Linked DNA regions of Notamacropus eugenii. The protein of the gene in region 3 interacts with the protein of the main gene of each other region in a biochemical or structural test. Links are inferred from orthologs where the notes say so. Each region holds a gene or a part of one and is shown on either strand. Other genes may lie near its edges.

Region 1 (7,418 bases), on a different chromosome or scaffold from region 3:
CTCCTTTCACATGCCTGGAGGGGATAGGTAGATAATGGCTTAGGTGCATGCCCACCCCTACTCTCCCCACCCACCACTCTCATCCCATACTATCCATGGTTCCCCACTCACCAAGCTGGCCATTGGGGCCTTTCTCTTCCCGAAGCAAGAACCCAAAGCCCTGGGGCCCTTTTTCTAGATGCAGCTGGCGTGGCCAAGCAGGCAGTGTCCAGCCTTCAGCCAAGGGGGCAGCCAGGGGTAAGCCCAGCTGACGACATTGTTCTTCCACTTCTGGCCCTGCCACAAGGAGGGCCACCTGCTCCCCGCTCTGCCGAAGCTGTGGGGACCCCCAGACCAGGAATAAATACCCACTGACCACAGAGTAGCTCAAGGCAGATGCTTCCCCAGAATCCTCTCCTCCCAAACACAGGAAAAGAGGCATTGAGGGTGGCTGGGTCACCATGCAGCCCTGGCACAGTGAAAGGATAGGAATAGAAGGGACCTGGTATGAACCTTCAAAGGAGGGGTCAAGGAACAGCATAGGATCATACATCTAGAGTTAGAAGGCACCTCAGACACCATCTAGTTCAAATCCTTCATCTTACAGATGAGAAAACAGAAACCCAGGGAAATTGTGACTTCTAAAATTACACAGGTGGTATACATCATAACTAGGATCTGAACCCAGGTCCTCTGACTGCAGAACCAGTGTGCTTCTAATTATAACATCAAAAGCACATCCTCCAAAGGTGAGGTGAGAGTAATTGAGCATGAGAATAGATGACAGAAGGAGATATCTCAGAGGCAGAAATCCTTTACCCTTTTTCCCACTTCCCCCATCTACGGATGTGCTGACTGAAAGGAGAAGATAGGACTTCAGGATATCCAAATGGAAAGTAGAAAAGGCAGAAGAAGAGGCTCTGTACCTTTCTGCTGAGCTGACTATTTGAGAAACTCTCCACACTGATCCCATTGACTTCCAGCAACCGAGCCCCCTGGGGTACCCCAGCCCTCTCTGCGGCACCTCCACAACTCAAAATCAACCAGAAAAAGCCCCTCTCTCCTGGGAACAGAGAACAGGGTTTAGTCTGCTGTCTGCCCAGGAAATTGTGAGAGAGTCTTCTCCTTGTCTGCCTGCCTCCCCCCACTCAAATCCTTAGAACCAGTTCACACCGTGGGTGACACTAAAGCCAAAGCCACCCTCATCTTTCGCCACGTGACACAGCCGAGGTCGGACACTAGAATCCAGGACAGGACAGAGAGGGGCACCACTGCCATTAGCCTGATGAGCACGAGAAACCTCCTCGACATTCCCCGACAATACTATCAGCAGTACCCGGGGACCACTTGCACGGATTCGACGTATCACCTGAGCAGGGAAGGAATCATGGGAGCTCCTGAAGGAAAGTCCCTCAGGAGATCCATATCTGGGCATATTCCCATTTAAATAGCCTCATTTCTTCCTGAGAATACCACTTGTCTCTAGGTCTTCCCCCAAACTCCTCTCTTCCCCTAGTCATTTCTTGTGCTAGAAAGAGAGAACTCAATGGTGCTTAGACAACACACACTACTCTAGTGAGTGACCAGCCTGCCCTCAGTAACCCATAACAGGGTTACATCACCAACACTGACCTAGACAACCTTACCCCACTGTAGTCCTCATGCTCCACAATGTCCCCATTGACCCCCAGGATTCGATCTCCATCCTGAAGCCCTTGGCGCTGAGCAGAAGTGCCTGGTTCCACCTTTCGGACTATGTGCCCAGTCTGGCCCAGTTCCTTATGTAGGCAGAAGCCAAATTTCCCCCCCTCATCTTTGCTTAGCAGACAGAAACGGGGGTGCTGAAGGCCCCAGGAATCTGTCAGAGAAAGAGAGGCCAGACTTAAAGTTCAAGGAAGGGCAGTTTATCACCATAGGCACTGTGATTATTCTATCTCTCAGAGGACACCACTTTCCCTTCTAGGGCACAGGTCAAAAATATCCCCATAGGAGAAAGGAACTGGAAACAGAGGAGAATAAAGTAAACCACACATGTGTGGTGAGAGTACCTATCACATATAGGACAGGGTTCAGGGGACCCTAATGGTATGGGGATGAGGAAGAACTGGCAAGGGCCCCAGAACTGACTGGGTGTTCTCAGGTTGATGGAAGAGGGTGATTGCTACGGAGATGGGGGTGTTTGGGGAAAAGCTGGGATACTTTTCATTTGAAGGGAATAGATGAATGTTGGGTTCAGAGAAAATTACCAAGGTGGTCATGGTCATCAGCTAATGAGAGTGCAGGATTATCAATCCCCAACTTCGGGTTAAATGTAAACTTCCTGTAAAGAGGCAGGTGGAAAGGATAGTACCATCCTGGGCACTGTGCCCAAGTCAAGTTTCACCAGAGCCCCACCCCAAGCTAAAACCATCCCTTTTCTCTTGGTCCCAACCCACCCCCACCCCCACTAAACACAAGAGAAGCAATACTCCCTATCTCCTTTTCCTTTCTTCCATCCTCAACATAGAGGAGAAGGGAGGACATCTCCTCTTTCCTCTTTACGGAACTCACAGATTTAATGTGGCTGTATCCTGGAGATCTGGAGGGGAAAGAGTAGGGTGAAGGCAAGGAACACACATGCCCTTACCAATTCTGGATTATACCACCAGAATGATCTTTGTTGTCTGAATCCCATTCCCATACAGGTTGCCCCTTTGCCCTCTAGCTCCTTCTCTAACCCTAGGATCCCTGGCGCAGATCTATGAGTAGAGATACACATAGAATGTGAATGGAGCAAATATCCTGTCATAATTACTTCCTCCCGATACCCACACCTTGACCACTAATTCCAAGGTATCAGGCTCCCCATTTTCAGTATCCCCCACCATGGTCCCCTCCTTAAGGGGCACTTCATTATGCTCTCTACCTGCTGCTGCTTCCATGTCTGGGCCGAGTGTTCAGGGTAGGGACAAGGTCCACCACAAGCAGCTGACCCTCCTTTCCTTCCCCAAGTCCCGCCTCCTTTAAGACACTGTTGCCTGAGGTAATGGTTAACTGAGGAGAACCTTGCCTCTAGGGAAGTGAAGAACTTTCTCCCATTTGCCAATGTTCAATCAGCTTCAGGAGTCTCCCTCTGGTCCATTCTGGGTATTCCAAACCAAGAGGTACAGGTACTATTGTTCTGAGCCTAAAGACAAAGTTGAGATGAACAACACCAGCCCTGCAGCAAATCATAGGCTATCCTTTCTCCAAATGATCCCCCTTAGACTCCCAAAACCTGTTGGCACCCATACTTGAATAACATCTAAGTCATGAAACCACTCACAACTGAAACAGACAGGAAGGGAGACAGGTGAGTTAGTTCAACCCTCCACCAACAGGGCCAGGCCCTCTGCTTTGAGCAGATTGTTGGAGACAGTAGAAGGAGAGAGAGATATGGGAAACTGATACTCCTTCTTGCCCCAGAACTCTGAAGGGAGACCACGCAGTGAGTAGTAGAGCTTACTTGGTTATTTACTGAGAACCATCCCCAGGGTCATTTCTGGGCTCAGCTAGCAATACAGTTTTTTTTATTTTTTATTTTTTCCAAGGAAGAAAAGACCATAGCATCAGATAGAAGACACATGTTTTTGTTTTTAATGGCAGCAAATCAGGGCACTTAATTTCTAGGAGCCACCAAACTTCATTATGAATCTGAGAAAAGCAAATAAGGAGAAGGTACCGATGGAAAATGACCCCTGTGGGCCCCCTTGGCATCCATAAAGAGTACTTGATCTGGCACAGGATGAAGGGAGGGGGCAGTATGGGCAGGTAGATGGTCACTGTCTTCACAACTAAACTAAGTGATCTCTCCAGAAACAAGGGGCAAGCATGGGCCACATCAAGTGGGGGTGGCTGAGATGATGGTCAACTTTCATACCCTAATTATCAGGGATAGTGGAAGAAAGTAACTTGGCTCCTCAAAATGCTAAGGCAGAGTCCATCCTATTCCATTGCTGACATGCCTCCCCCAACAAAATGAGAGCAAGCAAGTCCCCCAGTATAGCAACAATTTCATGGCTGTGATCTGGGTTCCCCAGATTTTAGGGAGCACAGGTGGAATCTGCCGTGTCAGAACAGTGCTGTGACCACTCCCTCGTCATCCCAAGTCCTGAAGAAGCCCTCTCAACTCAGAAAAGGATCTCTCCACCACCATACGTAGAGGCTGACAAGGGATAAGGGGGCGGGTGCTAAGGACCAGGATGACTCTGTGCCTCTTGCCTGCCTCAGCTCCCTGGGCTACCTAAATGCTCCAGCAGAGATTTGACTTCTCCCTCCACCCGCAGCAACTGGGCTTTGCGCCAGGGATTGAGGGTGGCACTCCGGCTGTCTTCCAAGTCTCGCAGTAGCATGGAAAGGTGGCGCTGGACTCGGCCCCGCTCCCAGCTCTTCAAGTTGCGCTGAATTTCACCCAGGATGACAGACCAGTGCTCTGACACAGCTGTGCCTTCGGTCAACGATGCCACTACTCGGGCCCTTCCAGTGGTAGCACCTTCTAGCTCCCGTAGTCTCTTCCGGCCCTCTGGGCTCAGCTCATTGAAATAAAGGCTAGTGAGGAAAGGGGAAACAGAAGGGGTGATTCATCAGGAGGCACAGTGGGAAAGGCAAAGTAGGTAATAATGGAGAAAGGAGAGCAAAGCAACCAGAGGCAGTAGAGAAGGGAGAATAACTAATTAGAAGTGAGAGATGAGAGAATGGTGGCCAAAGGGGGCTTAAGGGTAGCCACAAGGTACAGTGTAGACCAGATCCAGTTTGGGAACCAGGCAGCTAAGACTTTAAGGGAAACAATGGTGGAAGAAAGAAAGATTGGGACCACTTACAAAAGGGTCAAGTTGGAGTAGGGACCAGAAGAGTTTAAATTATAGACATTAATCAAAAGATGTGAAGACTGAGAGGGAACTTCTACACATGCAGGTCTCAAGGTTAGCTGATCTAAAAAGGAAAGTGGGAAGAGTGTCTGGCCTTAAAAAGATGGAAGCTGAGCCCAAGACTAGGGGAAGAAGGGAACGAATGATCACTTACTGTAACAGCTCCAGGGAGGGGTGTTCTCTGGCAGCCCTGGCCAGGACAAGGGCTGCTGCATCACTTGCTCCATTATAGGCCACATTCAGCTCCCGGAGCTGTTGGTTTCGTTCCAGGTGGGTAGCCAGCAGCTCCAGGCCTTCATCTGCAAGCCCAGTATGCAGCAGAGACAGGTGAGTCAAAGAAGTGTTCCCACTCAGCCCTTCTACCAAGAGGGCCAGTCCTGGTGCTGTGAGTGGGTTGTTGGAGAGACTGCAGTAGAAGAAAGGAGAGATATAGGAAAATGATACACCCTCCTGCCTCAGAATTCTGAGGAGTGGAGCCAACAACATTTACCAAGAACCAACACCAAGTCCATCCCTAGGAGAGATAGTAATACAAGTGTCCTCCCCTTCACATAACATTGTTATTCAGGTGAAATCTGCTTAGCAGCACAGGACTTAGAGCTGAAAGAGATCTGAGATCATCTAGTCAAGAAGTTAATTTTTTTTTGTAATGGACCCTTGGGGTAGTCTGGTGAAATGTGGGTGCCCCTTCTCACAGCAACACTGTGCAATGATCAGCTGTGACAGACTCAGCTCTTCTCAGCAATACAACGATCCAAGACAATCCCAAAAGACTCATGATGGAAAATGCTCTCCACATCCAGAGAAATAACTGTGGAATCTGAATGCAGATCAAAGCATGCTATTCTCACTTTACTTATCTTTTTTGTATTTTTTTCCCTTTTGTTCTGTTTTTCTTTCACAACATGACTAATATGGAAATGGATGTAATGTATCACCTATATCAGATTGTTTGCTGTCTTGGGGAAGGAGGGAGGGAGGGAGAAAGAAAAATTTGGAAATCAAAACCTTATAAAAGTGAATGCTGAAAAGCTATCTTTACATGTAATTGGAAAAAACATAAACACTATTAAATGGGAAAAATAAATTTTAAAAGGATGGGTTTTAAATGCATAAAACAAAATACATAAGATTACAAAGAAAACCACTTATATTGAAGCAGTTATAAATTTATTTTTTAAAACCAAGTTCACAGATACTAAAGTAAAAAGCCTTAATCTAATTCAACCATCTAATTTTACAGATGAGGAAACTGAGGTTCAGGTGGGAAGAAACAGCTTGCTCATAATCACACAGACACTAAACAGCAGAACCAGAATTTGAACCAGGTCCTTTGATGCCAGACATAGTGCTCTTTCTGCTACACCAGTGGTGTCAAACTCAAATAGAAACCAGAGCCGCTAATCCATATATAAGGATCCTCGCAGGTGTATATTGACTTAGCCATAAAATGCCATGTTATCTATGTTTTATTGTATTTTTATTTATTTTGTTAAATATTTATGAATCACATTTTAATTGGCTTCAGGTGCTTCTCATTTTTTTTCTCCAATTTCCAGAGTCCTTGGCTCTGCTGCCTGCCACCCTGAGACTTCCCAGACAGTGAATCCTTTATTCATTAAGAGCAGCTTTAAAAAAGAAACCAATGGAAGACGCCATAAAAGAGTCATGTGAGACTTATATATGGTAGAGAGGAGGCAGATGCAGCTAAATTAGAAGAGAATCAGGTAACTGGGGGGAAGTCTTTGCAGCAACTCTCTAGTAAAGGTCTCAGCTGAGGACAAGCTAGGGGGTACAGTGGGTACAGTGGGTAGAGCAATAGGCCTAGACTCAAGAAGACCTGAGTTCAAATCTAGCTTCAGATACTTACTAGCTGTGTGACCCTAGGCAAGTCACTTAACCTCTGTGCCTCAGTTTCCTAAGCTGTAAATCGGGGGTAATAATAGCACCTACCTCTCAGGGTTGTTGTGAGGACCAAGTGAGATATTTGTAAAGTACTTAGTACATTGTCTGGCACATGGTAGATGCTATATTAAAACTTTGTTATTCAGTTGTGTCCAATTCTTCAATGACCCCATGAATTATAACACACCAAGCCCTTCTGTTCTCTAGTATGTCAAGAAGTATGTCCAATTCTGTCAGCTTTCCTTATAGCCCAACTCTCACAGCTACACATTTTTACTGGGAAAACCATAGTTTTGACTATATGGACCTTTGTCCATACAGTAACATCTCTGCTTTTTAGTATACTGTCCAGATTTGCCATAGATTTCCTTCCAAGGAAGGAGTGTCTTTTAGTTTCATGCAGTTGCTGTCTGCAGTGATCTTTGAGCCCAAGAGTATAAAATCTGACCATGTTTCCATTTCTTCTCCCTCTATTTGTCAAAAAATGATGGGACCAATTGCCATGATCTTAGTTTTCTGTTTTATTTTCTTTATGTTAAGCTTCAAGGAGCTTTTATACTCTCCTTTTTTATCCTCATCAACAGACTTCTTAATTTTTCTTCACTTTCTGCTATCAGAGTGAATTTATCTATATATCTGAGGTTTTTG
Region 2 (7,428 bases), on a different chromosome or scaffold from region 3:
CCAAGTTATCTGTATCTCTTCCACAAGTAACTTTGTCTAAATGCATTGGAACATTGTAACAAATGCTTTTCCTTAGACCAGATGGATGATCTTGATTTTATAAAAGATTAAAATCTGATGGAATGTGATTCTAAATGGAATAAATGTCAGGTAAAATAGTTTCTAGGCACCAAATCAAGGCAATTTTTGTCAAGCACCTGTGCTGAAAATGTGTCTCCCCTCCATTTTCCCATGCTTCTACTTACATTGACAATAGAGTGGTGACCCAATTATGCTCAAGCTGGGAGAGGGGAAGAAGTACTTTAAAACAAGAACCAGTACATATAATTTTTTAAACAAAACATCTAAAATTTTTACTATGTCAATCCATTTTGACCTAAAAGAAACTAGTTTTATTTGGAAACATCTACTGTCTCAGGTAAAACATCATTAACTTGGAATTTAAATTTTAACAATTAAAAATACAGGAAATTCACATCTCACACACACAAAATTAAAAGACTATCTCTTACTGGTATTGATGGCTGAGCAATCAAGAACAAAAAGAGCCATTATAATTTTAAGGAACAACAGATTCAAAACTGTGGTATGGGAGGCAAAGTGCTCTGACCTTGGTATCTGAAAAGATCTGTGATTGTGTCAGGGCTCAGTGACTCACTACTAACATACTACCCTTGACCTGGAATAAGGTCCATAACATCCCAAGCCTCAGTGTTTTTTCACCTATAAAATAGGAACAATACTTGCACTACCTACCTCAGATAGTTGATGTAAGGATCCAACAACAAAAAAGTACTTTGTGCAAACTGTGAAGTTTTATATAAAGGAAACAAGATTAAAATGTTTTTTCCAGTGGTTCTATCTGTATAAAAAATAAAATCATCCAGACAGCTAAAGGTGGAAAAAAAAGTTTTGAGTAAAGTTAACACTCCATTCACTTAACACCTACCAACTATGTGCAAGAAGACCTCTTCCACTAACAATGATGTTCTACCCTGCCAATCATAACAAAAAGATCTCACTGAATTCACAACAAATTGTTGCTTGAGCAATTCATTTATTCTGCCTTCCAATCTCTGTTTTCAAATCTTAAATGAATATGACTATGTTTGAAATCTTTGGGTGGGGAGGCAGGGTGGTGTCTCTACAATGACAAAATGAAAAATCATGTTTCTGTTAGGTAAATGATCTTAGTGTTAATTCAAGAAGAATTTCAGGTGAAATAATCAAGGATAGTTTAACATCTTTTTAGGATGCTAACAAGTATTTTTAAGAGTACTAATAAACAACACATAAGCTCTAATTGATAGCAGAGCCACAATTCAGTCAGGATCACACAAATCTAAGCCTAAAAGAGACCCACCCTAATAACTATCATTAACCCATTCTGTCATTTTGCTTAAGTTTCTTACATTTATTCAACTTATTGTAGCCCTTGCTGATTTTCACAAGTACTGTTAGGCAGTTTCTCCCTGTGAGCTACACAGCAACTTTCCACTTCTATGACTCAGAAAGGGGCAAGAGAAAGGAGGGTTCTCCTCTCCCCTCCCAAGATAAAATCAGACAATGTTTATTTAGCTCTAGAAGAGCAAGACTTATTTATTTATTTCATCATCCAAACTTTTAAATACTTTTCAAATCAAAACAGTAAATACTGAGCATTTATGTACCAGGTAGGTTGCACCCATAAAACTATTGTAACAGAAAAATTATAGGAAAGGGAAATAAGCTTCCTATCACTATTTATCATAAAAGCCATCCTTATTTCTTCTATTACTCTACCCAGTGGCCAATATCAAATGTTTAAACAGCACCTATTTTGCAATGTTTCAGCATTTGGTGAAAAACAGGAGACGGAAAGTTCCTTGATACTTCATTTCATAAACATGGTGTTGAAATAGGACTGGCAGAGAGAACTCCGGTACAGTTTTTCTTCCAATTCTTTGAAAAAAATATACTTCGCTTCTCAAAAAGTGAATGACACCATGTATGGTAAATGCTGTCATTAGTACCTACAATAAACTAAAAACCTTATTTGGGGTAAGCACGCCAAATAGCTAACAGCTTCGGCAGACACGGAATACAGGACACTTGCTGACTGTCCAAAAACAGTTGAAGGCACAGAATACAGGCAGAACACAGACCTGGCAATACATCATAATAGAAGGAGCGGTTCCAAGACCCCTGAAGAAGGGGTGCTCCAGCTAGACCAGGTGACTTGGTCTACACAGCACCCCCAAAGCTTAACAGGCTGGGGTTCGTGTCACCTGGATTAATTCATTGGCTCGGCGACAGCCAAGAACATTCGCCTCGTCAAGAGGACGGAAATAGTGCCGGGCACGGAGGAGATCTGGGGAGAAGCAGCGGGGACCGGGGGGCCCCCCACCTCCCTGGGGCTCGCTCTGCCTGAAGCCACGGCACGGGACTCGGACCTCCGGCCAGGCGCCCAGCATCTGGCCTCGCCGCCCGGGGCGGACCAGGTCCGAGCCCCGCCGCGCGGCCAGGACGACCCGGGTGGGCACCGGGGGTTCTCCCGGGCTGCCCCCCGGACGCCGCACCAGACTTCCCGGGTCCCGGCGCGCGAGGGAGAGGGGGGGAGGGGGAAAGTGGAGGGATGGAGATGCGAGGAAACGGGGGGTGGGGGGGAGTCCCCCAGCTCCGCGGCAGCGGGACAGCCCGGCCCCAGGGCTCTCACCCTTCACTTTGCCGAAGGTGCCGACCCCCAGCGTGTCCCCCAGGATGTAGTGGCCAATCTTCACCCGCCCGTCGTGTTTCTGCTTCTCCGCGGCCGCCATCTTCCTCCAGGAACTGAGCCTGCGCATGGCGCCCTAGGGGGGGAGGGGGAGGGAGGAGAGGAAGGAAGAGGGCGGGGACAGAGAGGGAAGGGAAGGAGAGGGAGGAGGGGAGACTGGAGAGGCAGAGGGGGGGAAGGGGAGGAGGAGGGGGCCCCCCGAGAGGCAGAGCTGGGAGGGGCCCAGGGTGGGTCACCTCCGCCCAGGAGCCGGCTGTCGCGGCCCGCGCCCCCGCCGGTCCCCTCCTCCTCCTGCGCCGCGCCGCCGCCGTCTGGCCCCAACCACTCTCCGTGGCGGGGGCGGCCGGAGGGGACTGAGTCCGAGGTGCTGGATGGAGCCGTCCCCGGGCCCCGCCACCCCCTCCGTAGCTCCGGCGGCGCCCCCTCTCGCGCCCGGGGAGGACGCCCCGGGCTGTCCCCCCTGCCCGCTGGGGCCGGAGCGCTGGCTGCCAGCCCAGGCGGGCGCTGTCCGAGCGTGGGCAGCCGGCCGCCCGGCGCGTGGCTCTGCTCGAGTCTGCTCTGCAGATGTTTGGGCATAGGCTGGAAACTGCAGCGAGCGGAGACGGGGGAGGGGGGCTGGGCAGGGGTTCCGACTCCAGCCCCCCGTCCGCCCGCCCTGCGCCCCCAGCCTTTGCTTTCCTTCTCCACCGGAGATCTAGAAGTGGCGGGGACCCTGCCTTGGCAAAGCCCGTGAAGGGGCTCCTTGCCCATCCTTAGTCACCCACCAGAATCGCCGCTAACGTCTTAGCCGACCCCTTGAGCCTCTTTCGTATCCCTGGAAAAGTCTAATCTTGTTGCAAACAACTCCAACGTGGCCGACCCAAGGAATTTGAAGTTCTTAAGATTTTGTTGGATAGAATTTTGATTTGCCGTTTATTTAATTTAATATGTATTAAGCCATGTGGTGATGATATACGATCTGTGAAAAATGCAAAGATCCCTGCCCTCACAATGATACAGGGCATACATGAATGACCAGGGGAAAATTCTAAGTCAATATTCGAACTTCTTCATTTTCAATAGAGACTGCATATAAATGCTTGAAGGAATCCAAAGCAATGAAAAGGGGATAATTGTTGCTGTTCAAAGATGGGGGAGCTAAGGGTGTGTGTGTCGCATATCACATAGTTCGTGGGATTTAGCTAAACTTAAAACAACCCGGAAGTATCAATAAGCTATCAAAGATGTAAAAAGATGTGACTGTGGGAAGTCAGGTACTATGAATTGATTGAAACATTCTGAAAAACAATTTGGGGCTACGCAAGAAAAATTCATATTCTTCAATACCCAGAAGAATCCCCTACTGAGACTATTATTCCAAGCAGGTTATTGACTGAAAAATCAAAACAAAGACCCCGCAACTCTATATGTACAAGAATGTTCGTAAGTCGGCCAAACGTTTATTAAGTGGCTGCTGTGAGTCAGATACTTTGCTAAGCACTGAGCATACAAAAAAAAAAAAAAGTGGGGGGAAATCCCTTCTTTCAAGGAACTCAGTCTAATGAGGGAAACAGCATTCGAACAACTACATACTAACAAGTTATAGACAAGATCTATTGTACATGATCAGCGGAGGGAAAGTACTAGATTAAGGGGGATGGGGAAAAGTTTTCCGTTCAAGGTAGGGTATTAGCTGAGACTTAAAAGAAGGAAGGAGCAAGGGACAGGAGAGAGAAAGCATTGTAAGCATGGAGTGGGGGGCAAGGGGGACGAGGTAGAGCCAGTGAAAATGCCCAGAACGGGGAGATAGAGTATCTCATTTGGAAAAGAGCAAGGAAGCTAGGGTCTCTGAATTCCAGAGTATCAAGGGGGTGGAGGTGGGGAAGGAATGATTATAAGAACTAGAATGGACAGGAGAGGCAGGGAACCACAGATTAAAAAGGGCTTTGGATCTGAGGATTTTATATTTATGCTTGGAAGTCATAAAGAGCCACTGAAGTTCATTGAGTGGGGGAGTGGAGGGGAGTGACATGGTCAGAATTATGCTTTAGGAAGATCACTTTGACAGCTGAGTGGAGGATGGGCTGAAGTGGAGAGAGATGTGTAACAGGCAGAACAGTAGTCCAGTCATGAGGAACTGAGGACTAGGTTGGTGGCCGTGTCAAAAGAGAGAAGTGGGTGGATTTGAGAAATATTATGAAGACTGAGGTAACGGTTCTTGGCAATAGTATTGGATTGGGGCAGGGAGGGAATTGGGGATGGAGAGAGAGTTGAGGAGTCCAGGATGACACTTAGGTTGAGAACCTGGGTGACAGGGATAATGGTGGTACTCTTCACAGTAAGAGGGAAGTTGGAGGGGAGGACTTGAAGCGAGCTTTAATGAGTTTAGTGTTGGATATGTTAAGTTTAAGATGTCTATGGAATATTCAGAATGTTCAGGGGACATGGAGATGCAGACTGGGGGTCAGTAGAGAGATTAGGACTGGATAAGTAGATATGAGGATCATCAGCAGAAAGATGGGGTCCATGGGAGATGCTGAAATAGCCAAGGTAAATAGTATAGAGGAAAAATAAAAGAGGGTCCCCAGATGGAGCCCTGTGATACACCTGTAGTTCATGTGTGTTACCTGAATGAAACAAAAGAGACTGAGAAGGAGTAGTCTGGCAAAAGAAGAACTAGGAGAGAGTAATGTCCCAAAAGAAGAAAAGAAGGTGATTAAATGTCAAGGCTGCAGAGAGGTTCAGAAGAATGAGGACTGAGAAAAGGCCATTAGATTTGGCATTGAAGAGATTGTTGGAGAGAGCACTTTTGTTTGAAAGATAAAATTGGAAGGAAGCAACACTGTAGGAATGTAAGAGTAAGCATAAAGGCAGTGGAGGCATCTATTGTGTAGATAACCTTCTCAAGGAGTTCAGCTGCCAAAAGAAGGGGAATTATAAGATAATAGTGACTAGGGATGGATGGAGTTTTTTGAGGATGGGGAAGACTCAGTAGGGAAGCAGCCAGTAGAGAGATTGAAGATAAGTGAGTGGAACAAACCTGAAGAAAGGAGAATGGAATAGATCATTTTTGCATATAGAGAAGTTAGCCTTTGCAAGGAGAAGGGCAATCTCATGTGAGAGAATAAAAGAGGAGATAGGGACAGAAGACATCTGGGCAATGTTTAATGAGGAGGGGAGAAGAAGAAGATCTCAAAGATTTTTTTTTTTTTTTAGTAAAATATGAGACAAGGTTCTTAGGTAAGAGAATGGGAGGAGGGAAAAGAAGAGAAATAAAAAAAAGTTTGGAAGACTTGCTAGGGTGAGGGGGATAGTGAGTTAATTAGGGAGATATAAAAGGATTGCTTTGCAACAGTGAGGGCCCAGTTGAGGTTCTATAACAAATTTGTAGTGAATTGCACTATAGATGTCAGCACTGATTTTCTTGAGAAGCATGTATATAGGAACAAAAGCAGCAAATGTTGGGAGACTGAGGTTTGGGGCATGGTAACTCAAAAGGATGGTGTAGAGTTCACCAAGGGATCACTATAGGGAAATAAGAAGAGGTCTATAAATAAAAACATGCAGAGTTTAAAAATAAAAATAAAACTGGACAAGTACAACAGATAATGTTAGTACCATACAGTCAGAATTAAAAGATATATCCTTTTTGTCAACAATTGATAACTTTTTCAGTGAAAGTATTTCATTAAGAGGTCTGTTTGGGTAAACGTGTTAAAACATATCAAAATTTTAAAAATTAAGTGATTAAATGAATTTGACCTGTTCTCTTTTCTCCCTAGATTTTTTTTAAAAAGCCTTACCTACTTCTATGAGTTTCTACAGCTCTAACCCTGTTCTTCCTGGAAAAGACATTACTTCCTGCTTCTCATTTGAGAAGATAGAAAATATGCCACTTTTCTTTCAAATAACCTCTTAAATTTTCTTTCATGATTAGAGTTGTCAGGTTTTTCTTTTTCTTTTATAAAACCTCAAGATACCAACTTAGCTTGTATTTTCTAATGGCCACTGGGAATTGTGTGAAAACAAAGAACAAAAATTAAGTTACATTATACACACACACATACACACACACACACATACGTGCACACACAGTTAACACAATTACAAGCACTAGTCTTTGCTACCTACACTCACTGAAAATAGTTTAGAATATGAAACTTTGAAAAGAAAAGTAGATGGAAATCTTGCTTTCCTCTTATTATAATCTGAGCCTGGATTATTGCAGTTACTAGTGATGTGACTTTGGACAACTCAGTTAATCTAAGAAACCTTGGTTTCTTATCTGCTAAATGGGGATAATAATAATAAATGTCATAACTATCTTAAAGGATTGTTGAAAACATGACTAATACGGAAATATGTTTTTCATGATTGCACATGTATAACTTATATCAAATTTCTCACTCTCAGGGAGGAAGGAGGGCAGTAAGGGAGAGAGAATTTAGAGCTCATTTTTCTTTCAAATGAATGTTAGAAGTTGTTTTTACATGTAATTGGGAAATATTTTTTAAAAGGATTGTTGTGACACAAATAAAATATGTAAAGTACTTTGCAAACTTTGAAGTACTATAACTGTGTTAGTTATTCTAAATCTCCTATAATCCTTGCCCTTAAGAATCATATAATCTTTTAAAGGAGATATAACCTAAAATTATAGAAATTAGATCGTTTAGTCCAACAAAATGGAAGGGCTT
Region 3 (7,128 bases):
TAATAGAAAATATACAGATAAACCTAATACAAATCAAAGCAATAAAGCCTAGGTAGGAAGTTAGTGAAGAGATAACAACAGAAAGACTGCTAGGTTACTTCTTATAGTTTGATGATTTTTTTCTTCATAATATTTACCTTCACCTAAATAACAGAAAAAGGTGATATTAAAAGTAAAAACCTGCTCTCACATCCACAGGAGGGAGCTCTCCTTCAGTGGTTTGCCCTCATTTAAAATTCCCCTGACACATACATAAAATTAAATATTAGGAAGGGTGATACAAGGTGGATATGAGAATAAACATTCCCCCCTCTAAAATGCATATTCACACATATATACACATATACACTAAGTACTATATATAGATATACATTCATATTTGATTTGCTTTTGGTTATCAAATTCTGTTAATGTTTGAATAAAAGGTTTTGGAAAATTGAGTAAGATAACTTCCATCAAAGTAGTTGTATTTATTATTTCATTGAGGAAAAAGTGAAAATGAAAGAGAGCAACTGAACATCCATCTTAGAAGTACTTTTCATCTGAAATAGAGCTATTTAGTTAAACTCTAAGACTATAAACCTAAAACTTAGCATTAAAAACCCTTACTAAATGATACTTCCAACTTTCATAGCTTATCTCACACACAAGAACAAAAGAATAATTTATTAAATATTAGTTGGATATACCTACAATTCAGTATATTGCTCTGCCCGTTCCTGTTTCCATGGAAACAATGAACTCTTCTCCAATTCATGAGTAGCATAACTAAGCTTTCCCCATGTTAGAAACTGGAATAATTTTCTTTCATTATTCAAAAGACAAATGTACTTTGAGGCAAACAGAATTTCCTCTGTCAAAGAAAAGTTTTCCTCCTCATCACCATCAAAAAAAGATGTGTTTAATTCAATATTCTTCCTCAAATGGCAGTACACAATGTCTTAGCTGCATTTGCAACAAAATAGATATGGGAGTTTTTGAAATCTCTAAATATGTAAAGGAGAAATATCTTAATCATTAGTTATTAACCACTTGGTAAATAACTTTCCTTTGGAAAAATCAAAGACGCTAACCATAGGGTAAGTCAGTGTTTAAGTAGCTCCTTTGAATTTTAGCTTCTAACAGATACTGCATTATTAAAAACAGTTAAAAAAGGGCCATAGATAGATTTCAGATCCATGAACTTGGATAGGAAAATAATTACATCTTTAATTTCACTAATGTATATGAATAACATTTCCTTAAATTATTCAAAAATCTTAATTTGAGAACAGGTCCATAAGCTTCACCAGACTGCGAAATGGATCCAAGAGAGAGAGACAGAGAGACAGAGAGAAAGAGAGAGAGACAGAGACAGAGACAGAGACAGAGAGAGAGAGACAGAGACAGAGAGAGAAACACAGAGAGAGAGATAGTTAGGAAACCCAGGTTTATAGGGTCTTGCAACTAGGGGAGCTCACCTAACTGTTCTCAATACACATGCATTTCTGCTAGCCTGCTTTCACGTTGTTTTTTTTAATCTCCCTTCTCATTTCAGCTGTCTCTAGGTAGAAAAATGAACCTTTCTTAGAGAAACACTCAAAGGTTATACTTCACAATAAACAAATTAAAAAACAATGCCTTTAGACCCAAACCCCTGGTACAAACCTGCACACTCCCCTCTTCCCTCAGGCACATGTCATTACCACGGATGACTAGCAAGACGTTTACCTGAAGAAAAGTTTCGAGAGGACATTTGCCTGTTCCAGGGGTGATCTCTGCATGATCCCTCGGGGGCTGCCGGGGTGCCCTGCAGGAGTAGACTGCAGTGGTGACTCTTAATTGCCAAACTCTCCGACCCAGTCCACTCTGTTCCTGCTGCCTTCTCTCTCCCCACCTTATTCACTTGGGTTGCTGTGATGTCATGTACCACCTCCTACAGACTCCCCCCACCCATCTCTCTCCTTGCCAGCCCCCTTACACCTCTTTCCCCTTTCCCCTCCTCCTCCCCGGATGCCCAGGTTAAAAGGCGAGCCACAGGCAGTCCAGCTTCACATTCGCCCCGGCTGCTTTTTCCCCACCCCACTCCACACTTCCCCTTTCTCTAGTGGCTTCTGAGCCTCCCGCCTTTCCCGCCCCCTAATTCTCTACTCCGCCTCCCTTGCCCCCAGCGGGCTCTTTCCCAGACCGAGAATTACCTCTTCTTCGCTACCTTGCACCTCCAGTGCAGTCCGAGATCTTGGCACATTCTCTGCGTCTTCCCCCTTCTCTCCGAAGCTCCCGGGGGCAATACGAAGCAAAGTTAGGGCAAATAATCAGTCGCTTGGGAAAACTTGTAGAGCACTCTTACTCGCCCAGTTTCCTTGGTACTAAGGACAGGTTACTTGCCAGTTTCCCTAGGCTTCTACCTGCCTCTCCTCCTACTCCTCCTCTTCCTCTTCTCTAAAATCCTTTGCCAATTATTATTAATCGTGGTGCATTTTGGAAAAAAAAAAAAGCCACAAAAATAGGTCTCTACCTGTTCTAAAATGCAGGCTTATGGAGCTGAAAGGTTCCTGTGGGGGTGTTTGGTGTGTTGATGTTAATGAGTTTCTTTACCAAAAAAAAAAAAAAAAAACGAGCCTTTTTTTGCTTCAGACTTTCAAGGGAAGATTCAAAAGTCTTTAGCAACCCAATTTGGAAAAATTGCTTATTTAAAAAGGAAAATCCTCCTCCGAAGTAGGTGTAGATTTGGTTCTGTTGCCCCCCCCTCAGATCTGTTCATGGCTCGTCAGTTTCCAGCAGCCTTGGTTGGCAGTCTCTCTCCATATCCACGGTTACTCACTGCACTAGGTAAACGTACCTGTCCTCCGTCAGATTTCTCAGTTCACTTTCTGTAAGCAAAACCTGACTGACCCTGAAAGCAATCAAACGTCTTTGAAGCGCAAACTCGGCACAACTTTGCCAGGGATCCTGAAAGAAAAAAAATACATGGAAGAAATCACAATTCTTCACTTTTAGGAAGTTCTCGAAAGCATTGTACTGCCTTGAGTTCTGATGCGTGAGTTCCTTTCCTTGTCTTTCTTTCTTCCTTCCTTTTATAAATTTTTTTTAAAGTGCCAAGCACACCTTTGGTAAATTCTCCAAAGGTATTGTTAAAAAAAAAAAAAAAGGTACGCACTGACATTTGAGTTGAACAAATTGGAATGGGAGAAAGTTTGTTGAGTATTATTTGTGTTGTTTCTTCAGCAAATTTGTTTACTTTGAAATTATTGGATTGTTGATTTACATATATCCCAGTGAAGTATGGCTATAATCTTCATTGTATAATGCCAGTGAAGGAATTAGTCATATGTATTTAAAATAATGAATGCATGGTTTACATTTCAATAATACCCTTTTTCTTCTTAAATCTTAAAGTGTTTTTACAAAGGAGTATCATTGTATTTTTTTGCCAGCTGGGAAAATAACAGATTAATATTCATATAAAGTCAGACACCAAATCAGCAGCGGAGACAAAAATGGGGTCAATATTTCTGACTCCTATTCCCTTGCTAAACTTCTCAAGCAGGCTTTCCCTCCCTCCAGTAAGAGTTCCTGGACATAAACTTTGAAGCTATATTTTTACTATTTACTTTTCCCAGGTATGTCAATTGGGCTCATTAAATGCCCTTTTCACCCTCTCTGGCTGTTTACTTTACAACTAAGTGTGACCCACCATGTGTACTGCACAAGTTTCAAAACCGACAAGTATACAGTTCCTCTTGGCTGCCAAGGAGCAAGTGATAATAAAGGAATTAGGAATATTGATTCAAAAGAGATTCATAGAAGTTGACTAAGTAGAAGAAATAAAAGAGACCAATTTCAACAAACATGCATCACTCCCAATACTACATTAAAATGTATTATGGTAGGCACTCTGAATACAAAGATGAAAATGTCATAGTCCTTAGCCTTGAGGAGCTTACATTTTACTGGGATTGAGGGGGTATTCAATATAAGTACATAATTAAGTATAATTCAAGGCAAGGAGTGATAGGAGCAAAGAAGACATTGGGACAAAATGTTTTAAGCATTTTGGAGGAGATATCTGAAGTGATCAGGGAAGGCAAAAAGGAGTAGGTGACTATGCCAGTTGAGTATGGAAGCCAGAAAAGGAATCTGAAATGAGTGGCTGAGAAGAGGAAGAATTGCATCCCAGTCATATCAGGGTGAGAGGGAGGAGGATGGAGGCAATAGATGATGGCTCTCCACTTCTGTGAACACCTAATAATCCAGTTTGGCTGGAATGTAATGTTTGAAGGAAAGTAGCATAAAATAATGTGGGAAAGGTAGAGTGGAGCCAGATTATGGAAGGCCTTAAACTCCAAGCAGAAGTGTTTGTATTTATCTTATCCTAGAGACAAGGTAAGCACTGAAAAGTTTTTAAGGAGAGGGCCAGGGCAAGTCTGTTCCTTAGGAAGACTACCGTTGTTGTTGTTGTTGTTTGTCCTGACATCAGGAAGATGATGTCCTGACTTGCAAGTGAATAGGTTTTAAGAAAGGCAGAACTGTGCAAAGTCCCCAGCCTCACTGTCTCCTCCAGAGTCATCTGGGTCTAGTGGCAAGATATAGATCAGGATGATTGGAGATGGCCCTGGATTCAGTGGGAGACCTTGGCCTTTTTCAGCTAAGGGCTTTCCCAGGTCTGTTTGTCTGAGGCAGCACTCATTCAGTGATTAAGGAAGACTATTAAAGGCAGCTGTGTGAAGGATGGATGGAAGATAATCCATCTTCCAACAGGAGAACTATTGCAATAATTCAGATAAAGGGTGCTAAGACCCTGAACTAGAGAGGTAGTCATGTGAATGGGGAAAATGAGATCAAAACAAGCGAGGTTTAAGGTAGAATGAACATGAGTTAGCCACCAGTAGAACATGAGGATTAAAGGAGAGGGATGAATCAAATATGACTAAGGTTTTGAACTTGGACATGTGGAAAGATGGTAGTATCATCAGTAACAATCTAATTAAATCTAATCTAATCCCCTTCCTCTGATCAATTCTGCAATAAAACCATCCTTCCTCTTTTGCCTAGTCATAGGATCACAGGCTCTCAGAGTTGGGTGAGATTCCAGAAACTATCTAATCCAATTCATCCCTGAACTAGAATCTCCCCTACAACATCCTTGACAAAAACAGAAAACTAATGTTTCCATAAGACCTTAAACTCACTTGATTTAAACTCATTTAAACTCACTTGATTCTCACAATAATCCTGTGAGATAAGGGGCACAATTATTATTAGAGGCTGCTAGGTCAATATATAGACCACGAGAGTTGGAATCAGGAAGACCTAAGTTAAAATACCTCTTCAAATGCTTACTTAGGGGTGTGACTCTGGGCAAGTCACTTAATCTCTGTCTATCTCAGTTTCCTCATCTGTAAAATGGGAGTAACAATAGCAGCTCCATCCCAGGAGTTGTTATGAGGACCAAATGAAGTAATATTTGCAAAGTATAAATGTTAAAGCACCATATAAATGCTAGCTATTATTTTTTTTATCATTTTACAAATTAAAAAACAAAACTGAAAGAGGGTGGGAGAATTTAAATAACTTATCCAGGATCACACAGTTTGAGATGTATTTGAACGGAGATCTCCCTGACTCCAAGTCTAGGGCTCATACTAGAGATTATATTAGCTAACTGGAGATATGCAGCCTGTTCTAGAATAATTCTCATTAAGAGGAATTTGCACTTTAATTCATTTTACTTTTGGATAGCATTAATTAACAGGAAATAGTTCCTTATATTAAGCCTAAATCTCTGGAGTTCCCATTTTCCCCTTCCTTACCTCCTTTCCTCTCCCTCACCATCATTCACAAGCATACATATACTCCCTTCTTGCATCTATACAATTATATAGGGAAAATGCAAGCTATGAAAAAGCTTTGGAATAATCTCGTCCAATCTTCTCATTTTACAGATGGCATTTGATTTGAGAACTCATCAAAGAAACAATGTCAGCCATCACAAAATAAAAATAATTAAGTGAGTCACCAGAGGTATTTGGATTTGAATATTGATAAATTAGATTAGATTATGCTATTTTTCTCCCAGTTATTCTCATTCTAATCTTTTATCTATGTCATAAAATATTACATAAAAATGAACCAAATTTGGACAGTGTGACATTCTTGTAAACATCAATAGCATAAGACAGGGATGCTCTAGTGAACTAATTGTGACATCAGGAGGTTGAATTACTCTTTGAAAGTCAAATTTACCTGTGTGCAGGGGATATATAAAGCCTTATGCTCTATGTAGCTGTCAAACTGTGGTTTCTTGGCTTGACTCAGGCTCTTGACCAAGATACTGAGACTCAAAATAGCCCTGAGCACTAAGAAGTAGAACAGAGACTAATCCTAGAATGGTGGAACTGGTCATTAATTATCTTTCTCCACTGAAATTGCCATTTGTAAGACCAGATAAAGAATTCCTGGAGATAGGTTCCAAAGGCAGTAGAAACAGAGACATCTAGACAAATAAAACTTAATCCAGAGTCCTTAGGGGACACATTCATATAATTTACATCTTTGGTCAGTTAGGTTCTGATTGATCAAGAAGTAAGCCAAGGCTTTAGGAAGCTTCACATTTTTACTCATTCCTAGTGGTCCACATTGTCATGGAACTAGAGAGAATGTTAACACCTTTAATGTGGCATTTCACCCTTAAAGTAAACATTTCCCAGTGCATATGCAAAGTTTACCTGCTAGGCAGACTCACAGGACATCAGAGTCGAAAGAATCTCAAAAATGATCTAGCCCAACCTGTACTGAATAAGAATCCTCTCTACAACATAAGCAGGTATAATAATGATTTAATGATTGACATTTATATAGGCCTTTAAGGTTTGAAACATACTTAACATACATTATCTTGTATGTACATGTGAAGAGAAGACCCTCCACACCTCCAAAAATACCTCAGGGAGCCTAAAATTCTATAAGTAGAGATTTGTTCCTTCAGAAGAGGGATCACATATGCTTTATTAGTCATTTACATCTTCATTCCAAGTCAACAAACAGTGATGAAGAGCCTACTATGAAAAAGATCATTGAGTCCGCCAGATCCTTTCCTAAGAACGAGTTTTAATTTGAGGTGAGAGGGAACAAACAGAGGATACTGGT
Region 4 (6,990 bases), on a different chromosome or scaffold from region 3:
TTATTTTCAGCATTTAAAAACATTGTTCTGAGACGAGGTCAGTTAATAAGAGGTTTTTACCAGACTGCCAAGAGTGTCCTCCATACAAAAAAAAGGTAGGAAACTACTGGACTACATGGTCTCTAAGTCCTTTTCCGGTTCTTAAATCCTACAATCACAGAATTTCAGAGCTGGAAGGAACCCCATCAGCCACTCAATCCAATCCCATACCAGAGATACAAGGCCACCACACCACAATGGACAAGTAGTCATCTAGTCTATTTAAAGCCTTCCACTAGAGTTAGCCCACTGACTTTGCCACAGCTCTCATTGTTAGGCAGTTTTTCCTTTATTCAAGGCTAACTTTGCTTCTGTAAATTCTGCTTCTACAATTTCTACCCATTGCCCTGGTACTTTTAGAGCCAAACAGATCTATCTAGTCTAATTTTTCTTCCATATGACAGCCCTTCAGATACTTGAAAGGGGCTCTCCTGATCCCTACCCCAGTCTTCTCTTCTCCAAGTCAAATACCCCCCAGTTGTTTCATCATTCTTTGATTCTATAAGGCAAGCCCCTTACCCAACCTTCTCTCCCTTAGGACTGATGGAGAGATGCACACAGAGCCCAACCCCACCCCTGCCCTGCCTAAGATTGCTGCAGTTTGCCAAGACAGAGCAAGCAAAAGTATAAGGCCCCAGCTGCAGTCCCAGGGTGTGTGTCTGGAGCTTTAGCTTCGGAGCTAAAGATTAGACTATATAATACATTGTCTCACATATATTGAAATAAGCACACATATACACACACTGTGCACACAACCAGGAAAAACTAAGATAAAACAGCTTGCAAATCTTTCCTCATGACATTCCCGTGAGGCCAGAAGTCCTAACATTATCATCCCCATTTTACAGATAAACAGGGAGATAAACTGTTTACCCAAGGTCACCCAGTTAGTAAATAACAAAACAAGAGCTCCTGAATCCAAGTCTAGTGTTCATACACCCATATATCCTCTTCAAAAATACACACACAGATACAAACATACATACACATGGGAAACACAATCTACAGAGAACTGTACTACCCCTACCTTACTAATGAGTCATGGTGCCAGGAGAGCCTACAGTCCAAACCCAAGAGCTCTCCTCTCCAAACAGAGCCAAGTTGCAGGACAAGGACCCCCATCTCCAGGACCCACTGACAGTGGCTAGGACACCCATCCTAGGGACAGGTATTTCCTGATTCCTGATACTTTTCTCTTCCTCATACAGGGAGACTTTCCCCAGGCGGATGCTAGAGAGAGCTGTGAGCTGGATTAGATTTGAGGACAACAATGTCTTTCTCAGTGTTCAACACAGTCTCTGACACCCAAACACAGATACAGAGTGTGAATAGACAAGAAAAGTCTTACAGTCATATACAGATAGTGTCACAGTTATACACATTGTCACATCACACTGTCACACATAGATCTACAGTATCACACAGTGTCATATATAATGTAACATACTAGTACAGGGTCATGCAGATCTACAGCGTCCCGTAGTATATACATATATAGCATCACACAGTGTCTGTATGTCTATATGTGGTGGATTATCACACAAGGTCACACATGGTATCACACGATACACTGTTTACATAGCTAACTATACATGATATCACATGGATACAATATAATGCAGTCACAGCTACACTTAGCTACACACAGTGTCACAGTCATATACAGCTACACCGTGTCATATATGGCTATATATAGTATCACCTGGATACAGTATTTTACATCAAATATAGATACAGCCGGGAATTCATCATCAAAATAGTGACCCACACAATCACACAGAGCTGGCTAGCTACACATACTATATCACCCTCCCAGCTCCTGACAATTTCCCCTTGCTCCCTTCCAGACCTCCACAAGGACATACAATATCCCCTAGTAATACACATATAGATACAGAGCGTATCACCATATAAACACAGTGTCACACAGGCACGCAATATCACATTATTGAACCTTGACACAATCACGGTATGACAACACAGGCTCGTACAAGAGTAGTTCGATCACACAGACACAGGATGGACCCTCTGTGTCCATCACACACACCCACAGGCACACAATCTCGGGCCCACCTGGAGATGCGTCTCCTTCTCCACGTTGACCCCATTCACCTCCACCAGCCGATCCCCAGCGCGCAGCGCCGCCGCCTCGGCGGGGGAGCCCGGCTCCACCTTGCGAATGAATTGGCCACTCTTGCCCTTCTCTCCGTGCAGGTGGAACCCGTAGCCCTGCTCCCCCTTGATCATCCGGCACAGCCGGGGCCGCAGTTGGTCCTTGGCCATGGCGCCGCCGCTGGGGGCGCGAGCTCAGGGGAGGGGAGGGGGCGACTGTGAGGAACCCCGAGTCCTGGGTCCTGGGGCTGGAGAGTTCGGGAAGGGGTCGCAAGACTAGGGGGGTCTGGGACCCGGAGGGACCGAGGATGTGGTACGAGGAAAATGAAGGGGGGTAGGGGATGAGAGCTGGAAGAGAGGGAGGAGGGAGGTCTGGGGGGATGGCGGGGGCAAGGCTGAGGGATCCGGGGGATGGAACTCCGGAGTGCAGTGCGGAGGGGTTCAGTTGCTGGAGATCGGGGTGCACGGCGGAAGGAGGCAGAGAAGTGCAGAACTTGAGAATCCGGGAAGTCCGGGCCGCAGTTCAACTAGTGTAAGGGAAGCGGGCTGGGGGGCAGGGACGCCTGGCTCCCAGGGACCTCCGTCGGGAGTCCTTCAGAGGCGGGGCTGGACGCTGCACTGGGCCGGGAAACCACTGAGACCAGGGGTAGGGGCCTCTGCTGCCATGCTGGGCCGGACCAAGCAGGACCGGACCGGACCAGAGGCTGCGATTGCTGCCGCCTCAAGGACGGGTCCAGGCTTGGAGCTGGAGCTGGAGCAAGGAGACAGGCGGCTGCTGGAACCAAGCGGCGGTGGTGGGTAAGCTACGCTCCCGCTCCGGCTCGGGTTCGGGATCGGGCTCGGGTTGGCTCGGGCTGGGGTTCCTGCTCGGCACCGCCCCCGCCCCGCCTCCTCCACCCCCTCCTTTTCCTCCGGCCCACCGGGACTCGGGTCGCCCGCCCAGTAGCCCCCCGCCGGGTGGGAGGTCCGGGGGCGGAGCCGCAGGATGGGGGAAGGGGACCTGCCTGGAGACTCCGGTACCCTGTGGAAAGGACTTGAGGGGTCGTTTGGCCCGTCCTTCTGCCTCGGAGCAGGCCAGTCCCTGAGTTACACGGTGTCGGGAGGGGGTGGGGAAGGGGTACCCTACTTCCTAGGTTTCCAAAGCAGGAGGAAAGGCTGATCCCTCGATAATACTCCTAACACTACCCCTCCCCTCTAATAACACCCAATCTGTCCTCTATCAGAAAGCCCTGTCCTGCACAGGGGCCAACTGCTCCCCGAAGGTACCTAATCACAGGCTGCCTGGTATGTGACTTAAAACTTAAGGTCCTTTTTCCAGTTCTGCTGCTTCAGCCTTGCGGCCTCCTTTCACCCTAACTCCATTGACATCCCCTGATAGGTTTCCCTGGTATAAAATTCTCCTTCCCAGAGGTCTTTTCTTTTCCTTTACCAATTCCTGAAAGAAATCCCCACCATCTTTCAGGAAGGTCCCTGAGAGTCCAGATCCTCTTAACCCCACCCACCCTGTCTCCACGAGCCCATTTCCCCATTCCTTTTCAGTACCCCCACACTCCCTGACACACTTGTATTCACACACACACACCCAGTCCCTAAATCATTCTAAAATACACTTGCTGGGGCATTTTGAGGGCTGTTTCTTTCTTCGTGCAATGCTAGTCTCTTATCTCAGACTTCATCCACCCTCCCCAGCTGGGGAATAATTCAGGCTGTGCCCCTCTCCCAACCCTACCCCACCTGCTTCTTCTGACCTTTCATCTCCTAGGGATTCCCTTCCTAGGATCATTTGGCAAGTCCCCTTGTAATCTCCCAGCTCAGTATGGGAGCGGAAGGCAGAGGGCCTGGTACACTCTCTCTATGCAGAGCAAAGCAAGACTTCTCTTTTCTGAGAAAGAAGCAAATTCCACAAAAAGGAAACATTTCTTGCGGGTAGTTTTCTTGTCAGACGTAAGGATCTGCTCAATCTTCAGGAGAATTCTCCACCTCTGCTCACTTTATAATAATGAACGGAACAGTCCCATCCTAGAGGGCTTTAGCATTTATTTGGTCTCAGAAAGGATTGGAGAACCTCTCTGGATCGTGGCTAACACTGCTCTGGATTTGAGCAAGGTAGGGTCCCTAACGGGAATAAATTGCTCTGTCCATGGCCACTACGATTCAAGATCAACAAGATAGCAGTCTCCCCTCTCCTCTTTTCTCCCCCTCTTCCTCCTGCTACACTTTCATCAGCCATGCTCCCCCTTCAGCCAATATCCCATCACTCCCTTCTACTCCTCCACAGTTCTCAGTTTGTTTATTTTTTGCTCCTCAGTCCTTTGGAATGGGCCAGCCTTACTAGCTAAGTCTGCTTTTCAGGTCAAATCTTGTTCATTTAAACCTAATAATTAGGCTTTGAAGATTGCAGGGATCCCACTAAAACTGACTTAGGAGAAAAAGCTAAAGAGCACTTAAAAGAATAAGGGTATAGACTTTTGGTAACTAACTTTGGTTGTCCAAAGCCCAGCGTCACTAAGTTCAGAGGTACTCATCACCAGATTGGTTCTAGGGAGATGCGTATTTTGGCCACAGTTTTAAAAGTTGTATTGCAACCTTTTGTTTGTTTTACATCATCTTCTGAATATACCCCTCCATCCTCTTACCCATTGAGCCATACCTTGTGACAAGGAATAGCAAAGGGGGAGGAAGGGAAACCTTGGTAAAACTAGCCAAGACATCAACCAAGTCTGCAATTATTTCCCCACCTATAGTCCTCCAGGTCACCAAAGAAGGGAGAAAGGGAGAGGTGCGTTTTCTCATCTCTTCTTCAGGCTGATGAAAATTTTCAAAGATGGCCACAAAGTTATGGAGAAATTCTCTTGAGATTATCTGCAATTTACCCTTTACACATCTTATTTGCACATGTTTTTTTCATATTGTCTCCTTCCATTAGATTGTGAGCCCCTCAAGGACAGAGACTAGTTTTGCCTTTCCAGCTCTCTCCAGCACTTAGCACAGTGTAGACTTGATTTGAGTTCTGGGTCATTGGTAGGAAGAGTGTACCTTAAGAAAATCATAGACCCTTGAGTAAAAGTGGCCTCTTTCATTTGAGTTAATATGCCCCCCAAGGGTAAAAATTTGCCTTTCTGTATATGTTCTCATCTTTATTAAAGGAAGAAATGTTGGCCCCTCAGATGAACCCTCCAAATGGATTTTTATGAGTGCTTGTGGGTGAGTGAGAGTAACCCCTGACTGTGTGTTCATAGTGACAGTAATACCTGCTGTGTTAGGAGAATTTCTTTAACCTCCAAGCTCTTCTCCAACCTTTCAGATTTGCCCAGGAATTTTTTCCACCTGGGGAAAGCACAGAAAACAAATGAACTCCAGAGGAGCTCACCCAGGCCCACCATCTGAAAGCTTCTTAACCTTGACTAATTTATTCCTGCTAACCAAGTACTGACCTCTGTTATTTCTACACTGTCCAATAACCAAAAGAGCTGTTAGCTGTTAGCACCCTCTACCATCAGTGGTACCCTGGAGCAAAACCCCGGTTTCCACTCCCACCACCAGGGGTTCTGTCTTTCCCACCTGTGTTACATTCTTCATACTCTCAGGTTCCCTTCCTCATTGTCTCTCCTTTCTGTAGAGGCCTCTGTCCACCTCCTTTTCCTCTTTAGGCCTCTATCCCACAGCCCCCAAGTTATCTCTCTTCTCCACAGGTTTTCCCAGGATTTCCCAGGATTCTCTGGCTTCTCTTCGGGGGGTCCCCTTCCTCCTTTAGTTCACAAAGATACACAAAGCCAGATATGCAGAGAGAAAAACACACTTACCAGACTCGAGGGTGTCCCACAAAGCAGACCCAGCCAATTCCCCATGAAGGCAGAGGATTAGAGCCACTTATCACAGCTGCTCCTCTCCAATGGAAAGACTAACCAGAAAGGGCTATCCCACAGCCAACCTCAGCATCATTGTTTGTCTTATTGGTCTTGGATCTTTAGGCATCCCAGCAACAATTTCCCACCCCTTTTTCGGGTTATTCTCCCTGGCTAAATGGACTTCCACATGGTACTTCCTCTCCCACACTTACCTTGGCATAAAAGCCACTTAGGCTAATGCTGGTGGGACGTTAAGTCATCAATTTCTCTCTGGCCTGGTCCAATGAGTTTGTTTTCAGATGGACCCTGATTCAGCTCCAACATTTTAACATTAAAGCTGAGAAGGACCTTAGGTAACATCTCCTGCCATGCTACTTCATTTTAGAGGTCCAGAGAACAGAAGGGATTTGCCCAAATTCAGATAGGTAGTAAAGAGCACAGCCAAGGTTTGAACACAGTTCTCCTGGGTCTTTTTTACTTTGGTTCCCTCATACTACATTGTCTATAGGGTCTGTCTCTCTATGGGCTATGTCTCTCAGTCCTGGCTTGTATTCCTCTACCTGGTCCTGGGCCCCTCTAGTACATGCCGAGCTAAAATGGGGAAGGGGAACAGAACAACAGGACCTGGGACCCCAGATACTTGAGTTCAGGGCCTGTACTCCTGTGATGACTCCTGCAGGGCCATTAGGGTGGAGTGAGGATTACCTTCTGACTGCTGCCTTCTTTACCCCATACCTCACTGAGCTGGTACTAGCTCCACCCAGGTCACTCACTGGTGACTGGAGCCCATATCTTCAAGGTTTAAGCTAGGTTCAGTGATGAAGGTGGAGTCCTCTTGGAGAAATACCAGGCACTATGGCCTCAGTTCCACTGCATCTCGACCTCCCCTCGTTCTCCCCCCAATAACTCCCTTTAAGGCTCCAGATTCTTTCCTAGGTCAAAAATCTTTGCTTCTGCTCCTTCATCCCTCTATCATTTCTCCTGAGCTGTG

What was found.
Region 1: the proteins of CFTR (region 3) and NHERF4 form a complex in vitro, tested with the Homo sapiens proteins (2 studies listed by BioGRID and IntAct, with this or other methods). The link is inferred for Notamacropus eugenii from reciprocal best matches to the Homo sapiens genes CFTR and NHERF4.
Region 2: the proteins of CFTR (region 3) and PRKAA1 form a complex in vitro, tested with the Homo sapiens proteins (2 studies listed by BioGRID, with this or other methods). The link is inferred for Notamacropus eugenii from reciprocal best matches to the Homo sapiens genes CFTR and PRKAA1.
Region 4: the proteins of CFTR (region 3) and NHERF2 form a complex in vitro, tested with the Homo sapiens proteins (4 studies listed by BioGRID and IntAct, with this or other methods). The link is inferred for Notamacropus eugenii from reciprocal best matches to the Homo sapiens genes CFTR and NHERF2.

Annotation. Positions count from the first base shown.
Region 1 is NC_092876.1:279,616,362-279,623,779, forward strand, and holds the start of NHERF4 (Na(+)/H(+) exchange regulatory cofactor NHE-RF4), read right to left. Parts: upstream 3,002-7,418; 5' UTR 2,901-3,001; coding exon 2,885-2,900; intron 2,558-2,884; coding exon 2,530-2,557; intron 2,300-2,529; coding exon 2,226-2,299; intron 1,838-2,225; coding exon 1,626-1,837; intron 1,349-1,625; coding exon 1,153-1,348; intron 1,043-1,152; coding exon 906-1,042; intron 317-905; coding exon 112-316; intron 1-111. Other genes in the region: NLRX1 (NLR family member X1), read right to left, coding at 4,224-4,545, 5,020-5,271.
Region 2 is NC_092875.1:419,373,477-419,380,904, reverse strand, and holds the start of PRKAA1 (5'-AMP-activated protein kinase catalytic subunit alpha-1), read right to left. Parts: upstream 3,018-7,428; 5' UTR 2,823-3,017; coding exon 2,696-2,822; intron 1-2,695. UniProt on the Homo sapiens protein: Catalytic subunit of AMP-activated protein kinase (AMPK), an energy sensor protein kinase that plays a key role in regulating cellular energy metabolism.
Region 3 is NC_092874.1:135,437,120-135,444,247, forward strand, and holds the start of CFTR (cystic fibrosis transmembrane conductance regulator), read right to left. Parts: upstream 3,015-7,128; 5' UTR 2,178-3,014; intron 1,942-2,177; exon of another isoform or gene 1,790-1,941; 5' UTR 1,764-1,789; coding exon 1,711-1,763; intron 1-1,710. UniProt on the Homo sapiens protein: Epithelial ion channel that plays an important role in the regulation of epithelial ion and water transport and fluid homeostasis. Mediates the transport of chloride ions across the cell membrane.
Region 4 is NC_092872.1:48,222,528-48,229,517, forward strand, and holds the start of NHERF2 (Na(+)/H(+) exchange regulatory cofactor NHE-RF2), read right to left. Parts: upstream 3,012-6,990; 5' UTR 2,323-3,011; coding exon 2,113-2,322; intron 1-2,112.